Mus musculus: one gene and its partners. The protein of the gene in region 1 purifies or fractionates together with the protein of each later gene. This does not show direct contact. Links are inferred from orthologs where the notes say so. Each region holds a gene or a part of one and is shown on either strand. Other genes may lie near its edges. The genes, in order: Dcp1a, Edc4, Pnrc1, Ddx6 and Bag4.

Region 1 (3,688 bases):
CCTAAGTATACTGTAAGAGACAGAGAAGGTCCTTTTGTTGTTTGGTTTTGAGACCTGGGTTGTTCAGGCTGGTCTCTAACTTGAGACCCCTCTGCCTCAGCTTTCTTCACTATGTTTTTATAGGTGTGAATGCTCATGGTCTTTGGGAAAGAATTAATGCTGCCCAGTAAACACAAGACAACTCCATGCAGACCAGGGTTTTTTTGTTTTGAGAAAGGATAGTCCTGGCTAGCCTGGAGCTTGCTATGTAGACCAGGCTAGACTTGAAATCACAGATTGCCTACTGAGACTAAAGGCATTTGCCACTATATCAGGCAAGAAGATCTTAAAATTAGCTATTGCCATGTAAATGAGTATTTACACATATGTAAGTGGTTTCTGCCAAGCAGCATGCAGGAGCGTCACTGTCTTCTAGTGCTGAGTATGGAGAAGGCAGGTGCAGATCATTACCTGAGCTTCCAGATCAACTGAGAGGTGGGGCAACCCTTTCCCTCACAACCAGAAACCCAAACAAACTCCCTTCATATGTTTCTTCCTGCAGTCAGTCCATCAGAGCAAAGGAAGAGGAGCGAGAGCACTCCTGGCCCGTGACACCTACACACAGCACAGGCCCTGCCCGCGCGCACATCATTCCTTCCTTCTTGTGTCAGACCCAAATACTGACAGGCAGGCAGCAGTCACAGAGCAGCACACCCCACTCCCTTCCAGCTGTGGCCATGTGATCATCACACTCTGCTCGTTTTCTCCCTGGTAAACTTGCTATTGAAGGGCAAACCTCTCCTTTACCCTCTCTACCAATCGACCACGAAGCCTCCCTGACCGGATACTTTAAAAATCTCCTTGTCCACAGTGCTCAACCCAGGCCCCTACTGCTCAGGCAAAGTGATTGACAGCTTGTCCTGGAACAGGTGGCCAGATTCCTGTTTCTGACATTACCAACAAGTCACTCTTCGTTCAGAACCTTTCAATGCCTTCCTAAGGTCTGAAATATAACTCACACTCCTTAACTACAATGTAGTCACCTTCCAATGCAAATTCCTCCAGGTCTGTTTACACAGCAAATCTGAGTTACTACAGAACCTGGAAACCCACGCATGCATATACACCTGCGTACAAGTCTACATGCCAAGATCAGTTACAGACCACAGATAGACAGACAGGGCCCCCTCACCCCACAGAGCAAATTTAGTTATAGACCATGGAGACAGACAGATAGACAGACAAGACAGACACACACATCATCTTTAGTTGGGTATGGCTGCTGCACAAAATACACACACACACACACACACACACACACACACACACACACACACACACACACACACACAAAGTCTCATGTCACTTAAAGCTGAGGCCTCTGTAGTCTTGTTTCTCTATGCCCTCCTGCTCCTGTCTTACCTGGAGGGTTGGAGCAAGCACCATGTTGCTCAGGGAGGCTGAGACTGCTGCTCTTGCTGCTGCTGTCTTAGAAGAAGGCTCTATGAAGCTCTCAGGGGTGGCCAGTTGGCCAGCTGCCGAAGAAAAGCTGGGCGCCATGGTTCCTTTTCCAAGCGGCTGTGCTTGTATTTGGTCATGCTGTGGGGTCAACCTGAGTTTCTGAAGCAGATCAACGCTTGGGAGGGCTGTGCCAGCTGGGTTTGCTAGGCTCACCGGGGCTCTGAAGGGGCTCTGGCTAGCAACCAGACTGCTGTGGCTTAGCTCAGGGACTGGCTGGTTCAGGAGTGGAGATTTCTGCCTGGGTGTGGTCTTTACTGCTTGTATCATGGTGCTATTCCGAGGTAAGTGGGGAACTTGTGTGGTAGGAGCTTCAGCTGGCAGAGTGGGGCTGAGGACAGGGCTCAGTGGGAGTGTGTAGCTTGGGGGATGTTTGTCACCCGACTGTGCAATGGAGGCGGGAGTGATCAGCACTGGGGTGCTGACTTCAGGCTGAACTGTGTGGTGAGCGGCAGAATGGATACCCAGGTTTTCAGACTGAGGGGCTCCCCCTGACTGCTCAAAGGGAAATGGGAGGAATGAGCTGGGCTCTTTCTGTGATGCATCTCCCAGCAGCTTGTCTGTGTCCTCTGACTCTAGACCCATAGCTGTTGGTTGTTCCTTTGGCAAGGAGGTTCCAAATAACTCTTCTACTGTCAGATGTTTATGACCAGACGGAGCAGACTGAAAAACAAAAGCAAGTGACAAAATCAAAGAGAGGCGCAGAAACCAATGTAACTAGGATTCTTTTCCATCATGTGCACATATGGAGAAGCAAGGACAGCGGATGAAAACAGCCTGGAGCAACCTGAGGTGCAGCAGGGCTCAGACCACCTTCTAGCAAAGTCTGTAGAGTGACAAAGTTCCGTACGGAGAACAGTTTTAGCATTTACTCTGTTTCCCCTGGTGAATGTGGCTAAGGTTGGGGCTATACACAACAAAGTTACCCACACCGAGTGTCCACATTAGTAACACACTGGCAAATGATGCCAGTGCGAGAGGACCAAACTCTAAGTGGCTCACTTTTATTGTTCTTGATAGAACGTTAGCACTGCACTGCAGATCCTAAACACCTAAGGCAACTTTAACCACTCAGTACTCAGTCATGACTCCCCTACACCCTCAAATTACAGAATCCTGAGGAAAAAGGAAGACATTTACACTGAATTTAGAGGTGTGTTTGTGTGTGTGGGAGCTGGAGCGATGGCTCAGCTTAGTTAAGAGCACTGGCTGCTCTTCTAGAGGTCCTGAGCTCAATTCCCAGCAACCACATGGTGGCTCACAGCCATCTGTAATGGAATCTGATGCCCTCTTTGGTATGTCTGAAGACAGCGACAGTGTACTCATATAAATTAAGTAAATAAAACTTTAATAATAATAAAAAAAAGAAGTTGGGGAAGTGGTTTAGTGGTAGAACTCTTACCTAGCATATGCACATGCATAAAGAATATATTTTTTATCCCTTTTTGCTATGGCCTTATATTTAGAGTGAGATTCTGAACCTGGAGCGCGCGCGCGCGCGCGTGTGTGTGTGTGTGTGTGTGTGTGTGTGTGTGTGTGTGTTTGGTATTATGAGACAAGGTCTTTCCACACTGCTTGGGCTGTCCTGGAACTATGTAGACTGGATTGGCCTTAAACTCAGAGAGATCCTCCTACAGTGAGTCTACATCCAAATCCCTTTATAAATTACAGGAGTAACAACAATAGTATCCTATCAATTCACAAGGCTCATTCCCTCATAGTCTTACATTCTCCAGATCCCACTATTCTCAAGTACTAACTGGAAAATTTACATAACTGTAAACATAAAAAAATATAATCACAAATGTAACTGTGACAATTATTTCACAGCTCTACTATGAAGCCAGGCTGGCCTTGAAGCTTCAACAATTCTGGTTCAGCTTCCTGATTACTGAATGCCCAGTAGTTTAAAAAAAAACCAAAAGCCAAAAACCAAACCTATTCTTTATGCTGAAACAAGACGGCTAGAGATTCTGTGACAAAAAATGAACTAAAACGTGCATGTGGTAGTTCATCCCTATAATCCCAGGATGGGGAGGCTGAGGCAGGAGGACTAGTCTGAATATAAGGTAATCCAAGGCAACAAAGCATGTTTCCAAACTAGACAACCAACCGACCAATATCCTACCTCCCTCCTCACCCGCCCCCAGAAAATAAAAACAAAACAAAATAATCTCAACCCCCCTAAGCT
Region 2 (3,688 bases), on another chromosome or scaffold:
ACATCACCTTGGACTTGAGTAGCTTAGAGATATTCTCTTTCATGCTGCCTTCCACAGCTGTAAGCTTGGTAGCCACTGAGTTGCTTAGTTGACCTGCAACAGGCTCCAGACTTCTGGAGACACCTAGGAGAGGCAGGTGGATGAACCAGAAGTTTGAAAAAGCCCTACACTCACCCAGCCCACTTGAAAGAAAGCTCATGGAAAACTCACATGGAGGAACCGTTTTCTTGATTTCATCCCTTACGCTGCGCTCTAGCCGCCCAGCCACAGCTGAAGACAATGCCTGGGATAGCTGCTGTGTCAGCTGCTCCTGCAGCTGCCCACCCCGTTGCTGCCCCTCAGCCAGTGCCCGTTCCAGCCGCCGTTCTGTGGTGGAGCTAAGGAACAGGCCTACAACAGGACCTACGCCTTTCCTAGGCAAGAATGCTACCGCATCTTACTACCATGCTGTGCCACTACCCCAAGGATACGCTCCTGCTCATGCCGCGTCTCCAGGGCACGCTCTACATGGTCTGTGACAGTACTCTGAAGACCTTCAAGCTGGGCACAGAGACGCTGTAGCAGTTCTTCTTGGTTGTGCCATAGCTCTGCCAGCTCTCTTTGCTGCTGCCAAATTAGTGCTGGCCAGTCTTCAGGGGGCTCTGCCACCTGCCAGAAGCACTGACAACTTACACAATGTCTATCCTGTCTATCTCCACCCCCTCCCGCCCCAAAAAAGAAATAGCTCAAAGTGTGTCCCCCCCCCACCTTGGGATGGGGTCCCATAGGTAGAAGGTCCTCCCTTACATACCTGGTGCTCTGTGAGCCGGGATCCCACAGCTGAATCCCTACATAGGCAAAAAAGCATTGCAGGTCACATCAGGCAGCTTAGGAGACCACCCCTGGCCCTGGTCCCAGAAGCCTCCTATCCTCCTACCCATCATCCTTCTTGCTTTTTCTCTTGAGCTTAGGTGACGTCCGAGGGGATCCCTTCGTCTTCCAATCCTTGGAAGGCAGCCGTGGAGTAGGAATTTTGCTGCCAAAACCTCCTGAGGCAGAGGCAAGGCTGGCAACCTCATCATCATGGTCACTGTGGAAGGGGAAGAGCCTGCTCACCTGCTGTCCCCCTACTAATGGCTCTCCTTCACAGAGGAGCACATAGACCCAGGTGGCGCTCACCTTTGCTCAGCACTTGTGTCCTGACTGTCACGTTGCTGCAGCAAGTGATAAGGTGGCCTGTGGAAAGCCAGACTTTTGTGCTTTTCCTGGAGGCCATTCCTGGGGCTAAGGAAATACACTGGCTCAGGAGTGGCTAATCCTAATGTCCCTCCCACCCCAAGCATAATTTTCCCCTTCTAAGCTTCTCACCTTTCTGTCAGTGTGCTACAGGTCTCACGAGTAATGTCAGGTGCCGTAGGCCAGACTTGACTGTCAGGGGTTGCAACTTCCTGGGTCAGGGCTGCTTCCAGCAGGGAAGGGGTACTATGCCTATCCCCATCTCCAGGGCCTCCATCCAGACCCAGCTGAGAGCCAAGCTCAGGGCCTTGCCTGGGCCGAGGAGAGAGTAGGTGTAGTGCTGAGGCAGCTGAGGCCATGCTGTCTGGCTCAATGAGGCCCTCAGGAACAGAGGAGCCAAAGCCACGGGACAGGGCCTCAGATGCGATTTCAGGAATGTCCTGGGACAGGGCAGTGGATGCTGAGGAGATCACATCAGGAGAACGGGTTCGACTTGGGGAGGCCTGGGGTAGCCCTAATGGCTCCACTTCCTGCAAATCCAAGGACAGTGCAGAGGCAGCAGTGGATACCTGAGAAGGGCAAAGACAAAGGCTTAAGTAACAGGGGCTAAGGGGCGCAAAAACAAGTCACTGGGATCTGCAGTGACGGCCATAATGTAGCAGGAAAGAGAGATGCAGTTGGAAAGTAGGGCCACAGCTCACGAGAGATGGCAATGAGAGGCCGCTCTAACCTTTGGGGAAATGTCACACTTCCAAGGCCCATCAGGGTCAGCAGAAAAATATGCAGGAATAGAGTGCTCCAATCTTTCCCATCGACCTACACCTGCTGCTACCCAGTACTTTATACTCATGCATATCCCCACACACATACCCTCCCCTTCCTCCCTTCCTCCCCCCACCCCCCACCCCCCAACACACCTGACCAGGTCCCTTGGAAATCAACTTGTCAGCTGGGCCTGGGAGCAGGCCCGGAAGGAGGCTTCGAGGGCTTGCCTGCAGGCTGCTGCTGCTGCTGTTTAGCGTCAGGCTGCCATCTAGCTGCAGCTTGGGGCTCAAGGTCAGCTCCTCAGGTGGTCTACTGGCAGAAAGGTAAAGCATTAGCAATTGTAATCCATCTCAGACTGGCACTAGACCCAATTCTGATTTTTATCTTACCTGGGCAAGGAAGGGTCCATGGCTGAGGAGCTGCTCACAGCAGACACAGCTGTTAGAGAGCTGCTGCTGCTGCTGCTGCTGCTACTGCTGCTGCTGCTACTGCTGCTGCTACTACTAGGGGATGCAGAGATCTGGGAAAATCCAGAGAATAAGCACGAAGGTCAGCTAATGGGACACTACCAGAGCTCTCTCCACTGAGGAAGGAAGTACCTGCTGCAGGGAGGCAGTAGGTGTCATGAAAGCATCAGGTGTCATCAACTTGGGCTTGGTCTCACTGCTCAGACTGAGGAAGTCTGCAGGAGCAGGCAGTTCCACAATGCGCCGCAGGTCAGGCTGGGAACCATGAGCAGCTGAAGCTAGCCCCTCGGAGCCTAGTTCAGGTCGAGACTCTCCAAATGCTGCTGGGAAAGCTGCCTAGTCAGGTCTCCAAGCCACAGCAGTGGAACCTGTCTCCCTCCTGTTCCCTTACTCACTGAAGTCCTCGTGGGCAGTGTGGGTAGAGAGTGGGGCCACCACATCAGGGTTCAGCTGTGGCTGGAAGCGGATCTGCACATCTTGTAGTGCCCTAAAGAGCAGCAAAGGGGAGAAGAGAATACTCAAAAAGGCCAGGGCCATAGGGTAGGGGGAACATAGACAGGACATGGCAGGCCTGCCTGACACTCACTTAGTGTGCACACAAAAGAGCTTGATAAGCACACCAGCTGCGGATTCCAAGGCTCCAGCTCCATGGGAACTCTCTGAAAGGACAGTGTGGATCATTAAGGCCTTGGCCTGCTCTGTGCCTGGACACTTCCCACATACCAACGTATAATCCTGCCCCTGGGCAACTCACCGGTCCCCAGACTGTCATTCTCCTCCTCAGCAGGCAGGACCTCAGTGTGCCGTAGCCGGCAGCGACTGACAACCTGGATGCCAAAGCTCAGCACAGGGTGGGTGAGCAGGAACTCAGAGATAGAACTAAAGCACGCGCGGCCCTCGTCCTGGTTCTGCAGCAGCTCCATCACATAGAGGACCTGCATGAGCAACACACTCCTAACTCAACGGAGGCTATGTCACATAGCCCTGCCCTGCCCAGCAACACCAGCTCTTTCCAGCGTACCACCATAGCAGCCTACCTTTCGTTGCACATCACTAAGAATCAAATACTCTGCTGAGAGGTCCAAACAAACTTTGAGGCTGGGAGGCACACTCACTGAGCTGAAGATATCTGGGGAGAAGCTAGGAAGCCAAGAAGCAGACCAAGTAAGTAAGACTGAGAATTCAAAGAAGCTATATCCCCGGTCTACCTCCCTCATTCTAGTTTACCGAATGGTTTGCAG
Region 3 (4,440 bases), on another chromosome or scaffold:
CATGCAACGACTACCACTTCAGAAGTGCTCACCCTGACATCATTTACAAGAAGGGCTGAAATCGCCCGGCTTGGTAGCGCATGCCTTTAATCCCAGCACTTGGGAGGCAGAGGCAGGCGGATTTTTGAGTTTGAGGCCAGCCTGGTCTACAAAGTGAGTTCCAGGACAGCCAGGGCTATACAGAGAAACCCTGTCTCAAAAAAAAAAAAAAAAAAAAAAGGTCTGAACTGAAATCAGGAATGGATATTCCTGACTTTCACCATCATCTGTTCACTATCAAAGAATCAATGTACTGGGAGTGGCTGTGTAGAAAGAAGTAAGATGTCAGGGCTCCCTTCTGGGATCTCTAGCCTGAGAACAAAGACATTCCCTACTGCTGGCCAAAGACAATGGAACTATTCCCTGCCTCTAACCTCCTAGCTCATTCCCATCTTCTGTTCTCCTCACAGTGTGTGTGTGTCTATGTGTGTGTGTGTGTGTGTGTGTGTGTGTAGTGGAAGCAGGTTTGCGGCAGAATGTGTTTGGAAGTCAGAGGGCCACTTTGTGGTTTTGGCTGTCTTTCATTTTTAGGTGGCTTACAGGGATGGGACTCAGGCTGCTAGGCTTATATAGCAAGCATTTTAATTACTCACTGATCCATCTAGATGCCCTGCTCTTTTTATTATGAGGCAGAGTCTCATTAAATTCCCTACACTAGAAATTTCCCATCCTCTACTTCTGCCTCTCCAGGAGCTAGTGTTACAGGTCTTGACCTTGCCATACCTAGACCAGAGTTCAGATTCTTCTGTTAATTTTTTAATGATTTGTGTCTAATTCTTTAGTCTCTTGTATGCCTTACTGTAAAATGATTAAAAAAAAATTATTGGACAATGGTGACATGGGCCTTTAATCCCAGCACTAGGGAGGCAGAGACTGGTGTATCTCTGTGTTCGAGGCCAGCCTGGTCTACAGATCGAGTACAGAGTACAGCCTGGGCTACACAAAGAGTAACGCCATCTCGAAGAAAGAAAAAAGAGGAAACTAAATAAATAAAGCCCCAATCATTAAAGAAGTATGTTTCAAACAAGATGAATTACAGAAATTGGTTCTGAGGTCCTATTTGGTAACTGGTGTCTACAGTTCTTTTCTGTATTAAACTGTGAGTAGAGAATTCTGTTAACCCAGTTAGCTAGCAACTGTAGCAGAGCTGTTTTCTCTGGGTGGGACAAAGGCCAATTGGTTGGCAGCAGCATCAAGTTTCAGGGGCAATGTGAGATCTCAAGAGACTCCCAGAGATCTTTAGCTATAAAGGCAGTAAAAAATTAAAGGCCCATTTTCGGCATTATAGAGTACTTCTGATGAGCTGAAGAATCCTTCAGTAAACCCTTTTTTATTTTCACCACCAGGGTTAATTGGCAGCGTCGGAAAACCGAATGAGAAACCACATAGCCAAATTTCACTGTAGGTTAAATGGAGGCAGATCTTCACCAGTGCTGTAAATCCTTAGTGAAATAAATCCTTAGTGTTCTCCGAAATCTCTTAAAATTTTTATGTAGGGCTGAAATCGAAAACCTACAAAGCAGTCCTTTCTGGAGGTCAGAAGCTTCCTAGTTCCTCCACCGCCTCTCTCCTCCTCCTCCCCTGCCCCACCCCCAGGCTACCCCAAAGGATCGCTGCCAGGGAGGTGAGGCAGAAGTCGAACTTCATTGTTCACGGGACACTCTCGGTAAGAGCCCGTTGGGCGCGCCTGCGCAACGTGCGCTCTTTGTGAAGGGCTGCAGCAGGCTGCTTGTTTGTGTCTTGCCTCGGGGCGCGGAGGCGGGACCGAGGGAGTGGCCTGGCAGGCGCACGCGGATTGGGCCGCCGCAGGGAGGTGGGCGGGCACGGGGCGGGGCCTCGGGTAACAACACTGGCCGCGGTGGCCAGCGCTATTTGTTGCTGCGCCGCCTCGCCCGAGTCATGGTCCTTGCTCCGAACCTTCCAGCAGCAGCCTCCGCCGCCGCCCCGTGACTCCTGCTCCCCGCCTTTCTGCCGAGTCCCCGCGCCATGACCGTCGTCTCCGTCCCACAGCGAGATCTCGCTCTGAGCGGCCGCTTAGCGCCGCTCGGGTTCCTCGGGGCCCTCCCGATGGTGAACCCGGCCCCGCCGCCCTTGCCGCGCCTTCCGGACCCGCGCGCGCTGCCACCCACCCTCTTCCTGCCGCACTTCCTCGGGGGGGACGGGCCGTGCCTGGCGCCCGCGCCTCGCACCACCGCGCCGTCCGGCTGCACCTTGGCCCCGGCGGCTGCCCCGCGGGCGGCGCCCAAGAAGCGGCGGAAGAAAAAGGTGCGGGCCAGCCCGGCCGGGCAGCTGCCCAGCCGCTTCCACCAGTTCCAGCAGCACCGGCCGAGCCTGGAGGGTGGTCGCAGCCCGGCGCCGGGGCCAATCGTCGCGCAGGAGGAGCGAGGTCTGGCGGCCACTGCCCTGCTCCACAGACAGCCCCCACTCGCGAAGGAGGTAGGGCCGGTGGGGGCGGGGCGGCTGTTTACTCGGGAGGGAAGTTTCCGTGACGCTCGCTCGAGTGGTGGGGCGGAAGCGGGAGGGGGGCTGGGCGGCTGCGCTGGCGCCGCCCATTGGCTCCGGAGCCAGCCAATGGGAGCGGCGGCTACGGCCCAGCAACAGCCTGCATTTAGAAGCTTGGCGGCGCTCCAGGGGGTTTCGGCGTTCGGGGCTCAGGGACCTGCGGAGGGCTGACGTCAGCCCGCTACGTGCAGCGCTCTGGGGCGCTCATGAAGGCGGTGCTGGGTGGGGGCGGAGGCGCAGGCGCAGGCGCGGTGCCCAGTGGGGCACCGGGCGGGCGGGACCCACGCACAGCCAGATCCGCTGAGTCGGACTGCTGTTGGGAAGTTGGCAGGAGTCTCCGTCTGATGCCCGACGCGAAGGTGTCCCGGGCCCTGTGCAGGCCGGCACGAGCTTGCCTCGCTGGAGGGGGCTTCTAAGCAGCGCCCTGAATGAGTTTTTAGAAGTTATAAAATGGACTCCTCGGTTAACGGATCTGGATAACTGGGATACAGTTTTGTCGAGGCTAAAGGATTTGAGAGTTGTCTTAGCATGAAAAACAAAAGCCGAAACCACCTTTTTCATACAGCTTGAAGAATTCTTTGTTGGTAGTGACACGAAAAGCAGCCATTGTACTGAAATTGTACTTGATCAAGATGTGCCCATGAAGAGGAATAAGAATTTAGATCCTGAAGTGGTTTTTTGTTTGGTTTGGTTTGGTTTTTAGTTTTTCAGACAGGCACTTGCATTAGCTTAGAACTCACTGTACATTGGAGAAGATTCTATTTTTCAGAGGCAGTTTTGAACGGGAAAGACAGTATGACCTTGTACTTGGGTCTCAGTTTTTGTGTCCTTACTATATCATGCAAGCATCAGAGGGGCAGTGATCTAAGGGTGTTTTCATTTGGTGCACATTTCTGTAGATTATGCTGGGAAAGTTACTACAGTGCAAAAGTTTGTGGCCTGTTAGGATTCGGGCTGTAGCCCCGGCTGGCCTGGAATTTACCTTTCTGCTTCTGCCTTACAGACCTTTTGGCTGAGCTTAGAAGGTCGTCCATGAAGTTGCTGAATCTGAAAGGCAGACGGGAACTTTTTTTCTAACCTATAGAGGACACTTGTTCCTTACTGTTGTTTACAGTTAGAAAAGATGGACATTGAGTTTTTTTTAAGTGATATTTTTCTGAATGTAAGTTTGATATATGCTATAATTAACAGCATCAATTCAATAGCAACATAAGAGGCGTGCACATTTGAACATCCAGTAGTAAGCACATCCCACACATAACGTATTTATTTAAAACCGGATTAAATTCTAGAGGACTTTAAAAGCAAGTTTGTAAAATATATGTAAAGATAACTTTTATCTTGAAAATTGCTCACTTTTGTGTTCCTTTGTAGGTTTTAAAATCAAAGATGGGAAAATCGGAGAAAATTGCCCTTCCCCACAGCCAGCTTGTGCATGGTATACACTTGTGTGAACAACCAAAGATAAACAGACAGAAAAGCAAATACAACTTGCCACTAACCAAGATCACCTCTGCAAAAAGGAATGAAAGTGACTTTTGGCAGGATTCTGCTTCCTCCGATCGAATGCAGAAGCAGGAAAAAAAGTCTTTTAAAAATACTGAGAACATTAAAAGTAACCATTTGAAGAAATCAGCATTTCTAACAGAAGTGAGCCAAAAGGAAAATTACGCCGGAGCAAAGTTCAGTGACCCACCTTCCCCTAGTGTCCTCCCAAAGCCTCCGAGTCACTGGATGGGAAGTACCGCCGAGAACCCCAGCCAGAGCCGGGAGCTGATGGCAGTGCACTTGAAAACGCTCCTCAAGGTGCAGACCTAGGCTTGCGTCTGCAGTGTGTGGTAAACATCGATTTCCCCAGACCTTTGGACTCGAAAGGAAACGGATACAGCAGTGAAAACT
Region 4 (4,346 bases), on another chromosome or scaffold:
ACATTTATTTCTTAACACACTAATTTATAGACGTCTATGTTCCTTATTTGCTGGGTCGATTACAATGGCAGGTCACACACTACTTGATTACAAATACCTACTGGGCCATGACAAAATGATCTATCCTCCAACTGCAATCAAAACAGTTAATGTAAGGCATAAAGTAGTCAACAACAGAAATAACCAGAAACTGCGGGTCCCCAAGGTCTTCTTCCACTTACTTAATAGTGGCGGCCATGCTCTGGGCTTGCTGTGGAGTGCCATTATTGATTGTGCTGGTGTTCTTCAACTGGTTCAGCTGTGGCTGTGGCTGTGTGCCCCCTCCTCCAGGGCCAGCACTGGCCTTCACAGGGCCCCTCAGCTGGCCGTTCTGACTGGACAGACCCATGATAACAGGGTTCTCTGTTCTGGCCGTGCTCATGCTTTGTTAGCTGCACAGGTGTCTCTTCCAAACTTCAAACTTTTCAAAGTCAGTAGAGAAACTGTAATAACAGTTTATGAGGCTCTCCAAAATGAAGAGATAAATAAGTCCTGCTCAATAATATGAGTCCTTTATTGCAGTTCAGGCAAGCACCTGTAAGTCTCTCAACGGTGAGCAGCAGTAGTTAACTTGCTTTCATGCACCGAATCAACTTTTTTTTTTAAAGCCCTCTAACAAGCTTGAATTATATCTGAATTCACTCACTTCAATCTGAAACAAAGAAAAAATTAAATTAGCAGACAACAAAGTTGGGGGAAAATTGTTCCCTTTTAAAGAGCTCCTTTAGAATGCTCACCTTCTAGAGAACCACTAACAGCCACACTCAGGCCAAATCACTACTTGAGATAAGAAAGACACATCGAAGAACTGCCTTAAAAAACCCAATCTACAAAAAAAAAAAAAAAAAAAAAAAAAAATCTAACCTCAAACATTTAAAATTCCAAGATCAAAGAAACTTAGAGAAAGTGAGGCAGAAAGATACTATTGATAAAATTCAAATTCACTCTCAAATAACAATCTGTTCTCCAATCGCCCCTGATGAATTCGAAGTCCTGCCACCTTTAAAAGTCATTACGTTTAATTGCATTAAGACTTGAAATATCACTCAATTTACTTAATGTACATCTAGATTTGACCAAGACAAGTTATTAACTTTTTTTCTATTTCTGACAGAAACCAAAAACCTTAAAACGAGAAGACTTTTCAAAAAAAAAGTTGAAAGCTGTTAGTGCTGCCTTTTAATACAACACTTTTCAAAATAAAGTTCAAAGGTGGGGGCGGGGAGTCCTGTAGTTAAGGGGGAAAGAAATACCAGAGAGTTAAACTTACAGGTTTAATAAAATTCTCCCAAATCACCTAGAATACAGCGTCTAATTAACAGTTATTTTAAGAAAGAGTTGGTCAACCTCCTCTACTTTAAATTGTTCCCCAAATGGAATTCTCAAAATTTGGTAAATAAAATATTACTAAGGACTTGTAAGTATAAGTCCAACTCCTTCAGTTTTATTTTGTAACCCCCTTACATTTCACTGGCACCCGAAACACTAGCTTAATTAGTACTGGTTATCTTTGCCTCAAACCAAGTATCCCAAATCCATAATTTAGAAGTCAAAAGATATCTCAAGTTAAATACATCAACTTGCTCACAAATGCTTCTATCACATTAAATTGTTTATTTGTTATCTCAATAGGTATTTTCTGTATTGACAGCATACGATCAACAGTATCAGGTCCGTCAAACAGGAAGGCTTACTGTTTGTACAGCACTAAGAGGATGAAGGGGGCAACCTCTGAATCCTAACCGACACCATCAGTACTGTCAATCAAGCACAGTAAAACCTCCTAGCGCCTTAAACCCAGAGACTTCGATAACTGCTCCCTCCAGAAACGGATACCTGCACTGCAGCTTTATGGCTCAGTGGGAAATTTTTCGTCCTACCCCTTCCCAATTTAGATTTGCAAGTTATATTCCTAAAACAAAACCACGAAGGAACATAAGACTTAGTTGGGAGGAGCCCCTGGCAGAGTTAATTACAGCAGGGCCCAGACCGTGGTTAGCAATTGACAGTTTTCACACCTAAAACAGTCCCATAAGCTCCAACAAGGGCTTTTGTTTGCAAATACAGGGCGATTTCTATACGCCTCAACAGGAAGTAGGAGTGATTGGGGTTCTTACGAAGGTAAAGGGGGGCTATGGCGAAGGGAAAACCCTAAGCCAAGAATCGGAGTCCGGTAACCGTAAGGCAATAATTCCTCGCCCCCTCCCCCAACTTCCCTCGCTTCAAACCCAGCTCCCTCGGATCAAAAAGCAAAAGGGTTTCTGCCCTGCAATCCTATCTGCGCCACAAGAGCCGGAACCAGCTCTGCGAGTGGGAAACAATAGGGACTCCCCCCCCTCAGAAGGCCCGGAAGAGAACCCCGAAACTGGACCGCCTCTCCTCCCCTCTTACGCCGCCGAGTCTCCCCCAAACCCTCTGTCCCCACCAACCTGCAAGGCCTACTTGCAAGCGAGCAGCCGCGGCTCCTCTCCCAGCCGAGTCCCCGGCCAGCACAGCCCTGCCACCCCCCGCAGGGCTGCCCTGCCTCGCACTCCCAACCTCACTCGGGTGTCCCGGCCGGTGTTCCGTCCCCGCTCCCGTCTACCGCACCGCTCGTCCAGAGCTCCCCGCCGCTCCTCCTCCATACCCCGCACACGCCACATTCCTCGGTTCCACTCCTCTCCGCCGCCCCCGCTCTTCTCAGCGGCCACCCGCCCGTCCTCCCGGGCCAGGCCTGGGCCTCGGGCTTCTGCCCGAAGGGGGCTCCCTGATACCCTCAGGATCCTGCCGACCCCGACCACGCCGCCTCACCCCACGCCCCGCGGCTCGGGCCCGAGTCCTACCACCGAGGCCACTCCCGCTCCGCACCCTCGGTCCTTTATTGTTGACTCGAAGCTCCCAAAATGGCGGCGGCTCCTTCCTCCTCGGAAACCTCCGCCCGCCCCCACCCGGCCCCTCGCCGCGACGCCCGCCGCCCCGCCCCGCCCCCGCCGCGACGCTCGCTGCCCGCGCAGCTCGCCGCCGCCGCCGCCGCCGCCACCCCGCACTACCTCGGCCGGCGCCCGCTGTGCCGGCGCCCCCGATGTCGCCGCCGCCGGGCTGAGCTGACTCTGCTGCTCTGCCCCCTCCCTCGCCCGCCGCCGTCGCCTCCCTCCCTCCTTCCCAGCCGCTCCGCATGGCGGCGGCCGCGGCTCCTCCTCCTCCACACAAGATGGCGAGAGCTCGGCCGCTGCAGCTGCAGCCGCCGCGGCGTCACGGCTTCCTGGGCGCGGCGGGCGAGGGTCGGGAGAGACCGGCCTTTGACGGGGCCGAGCTCAGGGAAACACGGGGTTGCTTTCGGGACGGAGGGACGGACGGATGGACGGACGGGCGAGAGGGCTTGCCTGCAGAGCTGACGAGACCGCTGGGGAAATGAATGGCGGTGGCCGAGGACTGTCGCCCTTGCCTTCGTTCGTCCCTTCGGAGCTGGGCTGACGGGTCCCGGGCCGGAGGGGACGTCTGCTGACTGCTGACCTCGGACACACTCGGAGGGCAGCCTGCGCGGGTCCGGAAGCTGAGCTGGGATGGCCGGGAGGACGCTGCGAGGCCAGGGCGTGCAGAAAAGTGGGGCCTTTGGGGCCGATGCTGTCTGAGAGGGAGCGGGAAGGGGCACCGGGGGAAGCAGTGAGCCGGGAGCGCGCCCTCGGTCGTGGGCTATCAAACCCGGAGTGCAGGCGAGGTGACCCTTTGCTCCTGCCCGCAGTGGCACTCTTCTAGAAAGAAGGGCGGATCGCCTCTACCAGTGAGGGCTCGCTGTGCAAATGGGAGACCCGTAGATTCTCCTGCCTGACCCTTACTGCAGATATTTGTGCGTTTGTTTCTATGATTCTCGGATCCTGATGTCTTATCCTTAACCTAGAAAGTCGTCTTGTTCCAAGCAAAACAAACTTTTTTGTTTGTTAAGTAAAAATCGAGCTGGGCCGGAGAAAGTTAAAAACTCGCGTCTTACGCTGCTGGAGGGCTGGAAATACTGACAGTGGTTAAACCCTTTGGGACAGTGCGATTCCTTACTAAACACCGACGTTAGGGAATCCTGGACAGTCAGTACTTAGTCACTGACTTGCAGCTTCCATATTTTTACCGCTGCTTCCAACTTGAGACCAATCAGAGAAAGCCAAATATGCTCTCTAAACCAATGACTCCCTGCTTCCAGCCCTCCTGCTTCTTAGCTAGCAACATCCAATCAGAATAAGTCTGAAGCCCCCCCCCCCCTTTTAAACCGCTGCGCTCTCCTGTTTTTTGTTTTTTGTTTTTTACTTGAGAGCCCAAGTCTACCAAACTCCAGTGCA
Region 5 (3,688 bases), on another chromosome or scaffold:
TTTAATACTTGGAGGAGTGCCCTCATCTGAAGAGAAACACTCTTCTGGGAGATTATTACTCGGAACTTGGTTGCTGGGATGCTCGCTGCTGGCATTACCATATAACTGAGGCTCAGCACTATACTGGACTTGAGAATCCAAAAGGTCTGAGTTGTCATTGTTCACTGCTCCCGGAGATTCATACTGATGGACGCTGCAGGGAAAGCTGTGCCGGCTCAGGCCTTGACCCGATGGGTTGTAGGAGTACGAGGGGTCCTTGAAATGGGAAGACAGAAAGGAGACAGAAGCTGTCTTAGTGGGAAGCTATCAACATCAGATATGTCAGTGTGCATCGTTTACCAACCAGGAAAGAACTGAAAAGACTTCCACAGAACCATCAGAGACCAACACTGTTAGACGACAAAGGGAGAGCCCTTTGAAGCAGGAGGCACACAATTCCTAAATACGATGGTTGGAATCTACCTCAATGCAAGTCACTCTGTGAACACTTCCCAATTTTACGACCTCACAATTCCTCGGTGACTTAATCATTAGTTTCCCTTAGACAGTGAAAGCCTTCAGAGCATAGGCAAAAGCAGAGTGTGTGTCTATGGCTTATGTAAAGCCCAGCACCCAAGCCAGCACGTGCTATTCACATCGATTTTCCTCTCGCTGCATAACATGAGATTGTGAAATACATCCCTTGATTCTATTTAATATTCAGATAGTTCCGGCAGAAAAGAAGCATTTTCCTGTCTTTTTAAAAAAGATATGGTCCTGGAGAGATGGCTTCTCCTGAGGACCCAAATTTGATTCTCAGAAGTTACAAGGCAGCTCATAACTGTCTGTAACTCCAGTTCCAGGGGATAAGCCTCCAAGGGCAACAAGCACATATGTGGCCCATAGACATACAGGCAGCCAGGATATCCGTACACATAAAAAATAATGAAAAATTACAACAACAGATAAGAACCTTAAAAAAAATCCCCAAACAATACTGTCTGTAAGAGAAAAGGAAGCTAACACCATGCTTAGTAGAAACCACCAACTGTTTTGCATCTAACAGACTAATACAGAGAAAGAAGTGTCGTCTTGTGTCCTCTTAATTGCCTAGAGATCAAAGGAATAGCACTCGGAAGGCCTCCTACCTTAGGCTGCTGAGGTGGGGGTGAAGGAGGCGGCTGAGGAGAACTGTTGCCTGGCCACGGTGAAGCACTTTCCGTCATGTACAGGCTCCCAGCCGAGGGGGCTGAGGGTGCAGCTGAAGGCCAGGGGTAACGGGCTCCCATCCCATAAGCGCTGGAAGCCCAGGCATCGTCTTGTGGTCGTCCAGTCCCTCCTGACTGCGGCACAGCGCGGTTGCCATCTCCATAAGGATAATGGGGCAAGGTCATTCCAGGGTTCTAGATTGGGAAAACAAATATGCTGCTATGCTGGCAGGTCACTGCTTATACGTAATGAAAACAGCACAGACAGGTCCTGACCTGCTAGTGACTCATTAATCAGTTACCAAAAGTTCTCCACACCTGAGAAAACCTGGCTCCCAAAATAAAGAACAGAGTTGTTAAAAGACTCATGAGTTAGACTTCAAATTCACTGGGTGAAGCATGTATTTTCCAAAAGCACTACAGATAAATGAATCCATACATTATAAGACAGTAGAAGTGTTCTCAAAACAAACAGGAATAGGTTTGGTATACTCACAGCATATTAATATACACCTAGAAGCATTAGGAAAGACTAAGTTAGGGAAAGCTTCAAGCAACAACTAAAGATCTATTACAAAAATTGTATGGGGGCTGGAGAAACGTCTCAGTGGTTAGAGCACACACTGCTCTTCTAGAGGATCCAAGTTGAAATCCTAGATTCCGTATGAGGTAGCTCCGGAATCCATCACTCTAGTTCCAGGAGTGCTCACACCTGTGGCCTGAGTACCTGCACTCATGGACATGAGCACACAGTCACGAGTACACATGGAATTAAAAAGAATGAAAATAGGAGAAAACTAAAGAGGTGCCAGGTGTGGTACCATGTGTATCTAGTCCCGACACTCAGGGGAGAGAAATAGGCAATTTGCTGTGATTATTTGAGGCCAGCTAGGTCTGTAGAGGGAGTTCCAGGTGCCCAGGGTGACATACTAACACCTGATCTCAAAGAAGAAACAGACAAAAAAGAAACAGACAAAAATATATAAATTATGGGCTGGAGAGATGGCTCAGTGTGTAAAGGCACTTGTTATGCAAGTCTGGGGACCGGAGTTTGATCCCTGGAACCCACAGAAAGTGAAAACCTGCTCCACAAAGCTGGCCTCTGTCCGCTACACATGCGCTGTGGTACATGTGTGCCATCCCTTACAACTCCCATCATGCACACAAATAATAAATATATTAGGATTTAAAGGAATTATGATATTTTAAGGTCTCTTCAGCCACATCCATTTAGGCATCAATATAAAAGAAACCCCTTCCTTCACTTGTCAAACAATTTTTTAACATCTACAGTACTTCCTTTTTTGTTCTTTTTTTTTTTTTAAAAGATTTATTTATTTTATGTATGAGAATAGCATTGTTGCTGTCTTCAGACACACCAGAAGAGGGCATTGAGCCCAATTACAGATGGTTGTGAGCCACCATGTGGTTGCTGGGAATTGAACTCAGGACCTCTGGAAGAGAGCAGTCAGTGCTCTGAACGGCTGAGCCATCTCTCCAGCCATTTTGTTTTGTTTTGTTTTTGAGACAAGGTCACATTACGTAGTCCTGAATGGTCATGAACTCAAGGGCTTCACCTGCCTCTCTCTGCCTCATGAGAACTGGGGTTAAAGATGTACATGTCGTGTATGGCTCTAGTTGTTTTCTTAAAACAGAACCAGTGTAAATGGGTAACTTTCCACTGTTTAAAATTCAGGAAATAGAGGCATTTTTTTTCCCTCACGGGAAACTGCTTACCTGTGAAGCAGGATATCCTGGCACCTGTCCCCTCAGAGGAGGTGCTTCTGTTGGACAGTCCTGCTGGGAATACATCCAACGAGACATTGGAGTTGGGCTGTTACCAGGTGAACGGTAGGTGTTTGGAACTTCCGTGGAGTAATTGCTCTGTGTATAGCCAGGTACATAGTAAGCCCCAGAGTAGGAGGCAGTACTTGCTCCAGGGCCAGGAGGGTAAGGCGGTCCATATGCTCCATTTGCATAAGAATTCAGGCTCTGGGGGTGGGGGGAAAAAAAGGTAGTGGCAAGGAAAAGATAAATGGGTTGAAGGGCTAAAAACGCCTTAGTGTTCAACCTTGAGAACTTTAGGAAGTAAGATGTCAGTAACCGATGACCATATAAGCTATGTAAGCAGTCTATGAGGTACTTTCTCTATTTGCTATAATCACACTCCAGGTACTGAACTCAGGCTATATAAATTAAGGGGCATCAATGGAAGACTACATGGTGATGACAAAGTGAGAAGTAATGGGTCCCCCAAACATCTTTTTACATTTAATTCATAACTGCATGTCTAAGCAGAGAGCTTGTGCCCACAGGAGGCAACTCTAGGAATCCTTGGAGACAGGGTAGAGGAAAAAGGAATATCATTATATAATAGAAAGGGGGAAAAAGTCAGAAACACTCTCTAATAGCTTTATATTTAGTTACTCTTAGCTTCCGTTTCTCTAACAGGAAAATGAAGAGCCAAAATTTACCTTGTAGGATTATTATGAAAAATTAAG

What was found.
Region 2: the proteins of Dcp1a (region 1) and Edc4 purify together in Homo sapiens (co-immunoprecipitation; 9 studies listed by BioGRID and IntAct, with this or other methods). This does not show direct contact. The link is inferred for Mus musculus from reciprocal best matches to the Homo sapiens genes DCP1A and EDC4.
Region 3: the proteins of Dcp1a (region 1) and Pnrc1 purify together in Homo sapiens (affinity purification with mass spectrometry; 3 studies listed by BioGRID and IntAct, with this or other methods). This does not show direct contact. The link is inferred for Mus musculus from reciprocal best matches to the Homo sapiens genes DCP1A and PNRC1.
Region 4: the proteins of Dcp1a (region 1) and Ddx6 purify together in Homo sapiens (affinity purification with mass spectrometry; 8 studies listed by BioGRID and IntAct, counting the BioPlex papers as one, with this or other methods). This does not show direct contact. The link is inferred for Mus musculus from reciprocal best matches to the Homo sapiens genes DCP1A and DDX6.
Region 5: the proteins of Dcp1a (region 1) and Bag4 purify together in Homo sapiens (affinity purification with mass spectrometry; 4 studies listed by BioGRID and IntAct, counting the BioPlex papers as one, with this or other methods). This does not show direct contact. The link is inferred for Mus musculus from reciprocal best matches to the Homo sapiens genes DCP1A and BAG4.

What each region holds. Positions count from the first base shown.
Region 1 is NC_000080.6:30,517,391-30,521,078, reverse strand, and holds part of Dcp1a (mRNA-decapping enzyme 1A), read right to left. Parts: intron 2,161-3,688; coding exon 1,402-2,160; intron 1-1,401. UniProt on the Homo sapiens protein: Necessary for the degradation of mRNAs, both in normal mRNA turnover and in nonsense-mediated mRNA decay. Removes the 7-methyl guanine cap structure from mRNA molecules, yielding a 5'-phosphorylated mRNA fragment and 7m-GDP.
Region 2 is NC_000074.6:105,887,200-105,890,887, reverse strand, and holds part of Edc4 (enhancer of mRNA-decapping protein 4), read right to left. Parts: coding exon 3,675-3,688; intron 3,588-3,674; coding exon 3,485-3,587; intron 3,402-3,484; coding exon of another isoform or gene 3,383-3,401; coding exon 3,202-3,382; intron 3,107-3,201; coding exon 3,034-3,106; intron 2,935-3,033; coding exon 2,843-2,934; intron 2,771-2,842; coding exon of another isoform or gene 2,768-2,770; coding exon 2,580-2,767; intron 2,501-2,579; coding exon 2,370-2,500; intron 2,293-2,369; coding exon of another isoform or gene 2,290-2,292; coding exon 2,133-2,289; intron 1,785-2,132; coding exon 1,348-1,784; intron 1,264-1,347; coding exon 1,159-1,263; intron 1,070-1,158; coding exon 917-1,069; intron 828-916; coding exon 791-827; intron 649-790; coding exon 471-648; intron 367-470; coding exon 211-366; intron 124-210; coding exon 8-123; intron 1-7. UniProt on the Homo sapiens protein: In the process of mRNA degradation, seems to play a role in mRNA decapping. Component of a complex containing DCP2 and DCP1A which functions in decapping of ARE-containing mRNAs. Promotes complex formation between DCP1A and DCP2.
Region 3 is NC_000070.6:33,245,983-33,250,422, reverse strand, and holds the start of Pnrc1 (proline-rich nuclear receptor coactivator 1), read left to right. Parts: upstream 1-1,635; 5' UTR 1,636-2,025; coding exon 2,026-2,475; intron 2,476-3,915; coding exon 3,916-4,359; 3' UTR 4,360-4,440. UniProt on the Homo sapiens protein: Nuclear receptor coactivator. May play a role in signal transduction.
Region 4 is NC_000075.6:44,603,468-44,607,813, reverse strand, and holds the start of Ddx6 (probable ATP-dependent RNA helicase DDX6), read right to left. Parts: upstream 2,923-4,346; 5' UTR 2,862-2,922; exon of another isoform or gene 2,578-2,861; intron 881-2,577; exon of another isoform or gene 777-880; intron 692-776; 5' UTR 422-691; coding exon 222-421; intron 1-221.
Region 5 is NC_000074.6:25,768,155-25,771,842, forward strand, and holds part of Bag4 (BAG family molecular chaperone regulator 4), read right to left. Parts: intron 3,180-3,688; coding exon 2,925-3,179; intron 1,549-2,924; exon of another isoform or gene 1,383-1,548; coding exon 1,128-1,382; exon of another isoform or gene 256-1,127; coding exon 1-255. UniProt on the Homo sapiens protein: Inhibits the chaperone activity of HSP70/HSC70 by promoting substrate release. Prevents constitutive TNFRSF1A signaling. Negative regulator of PRKN translocation to damaged mitochondria.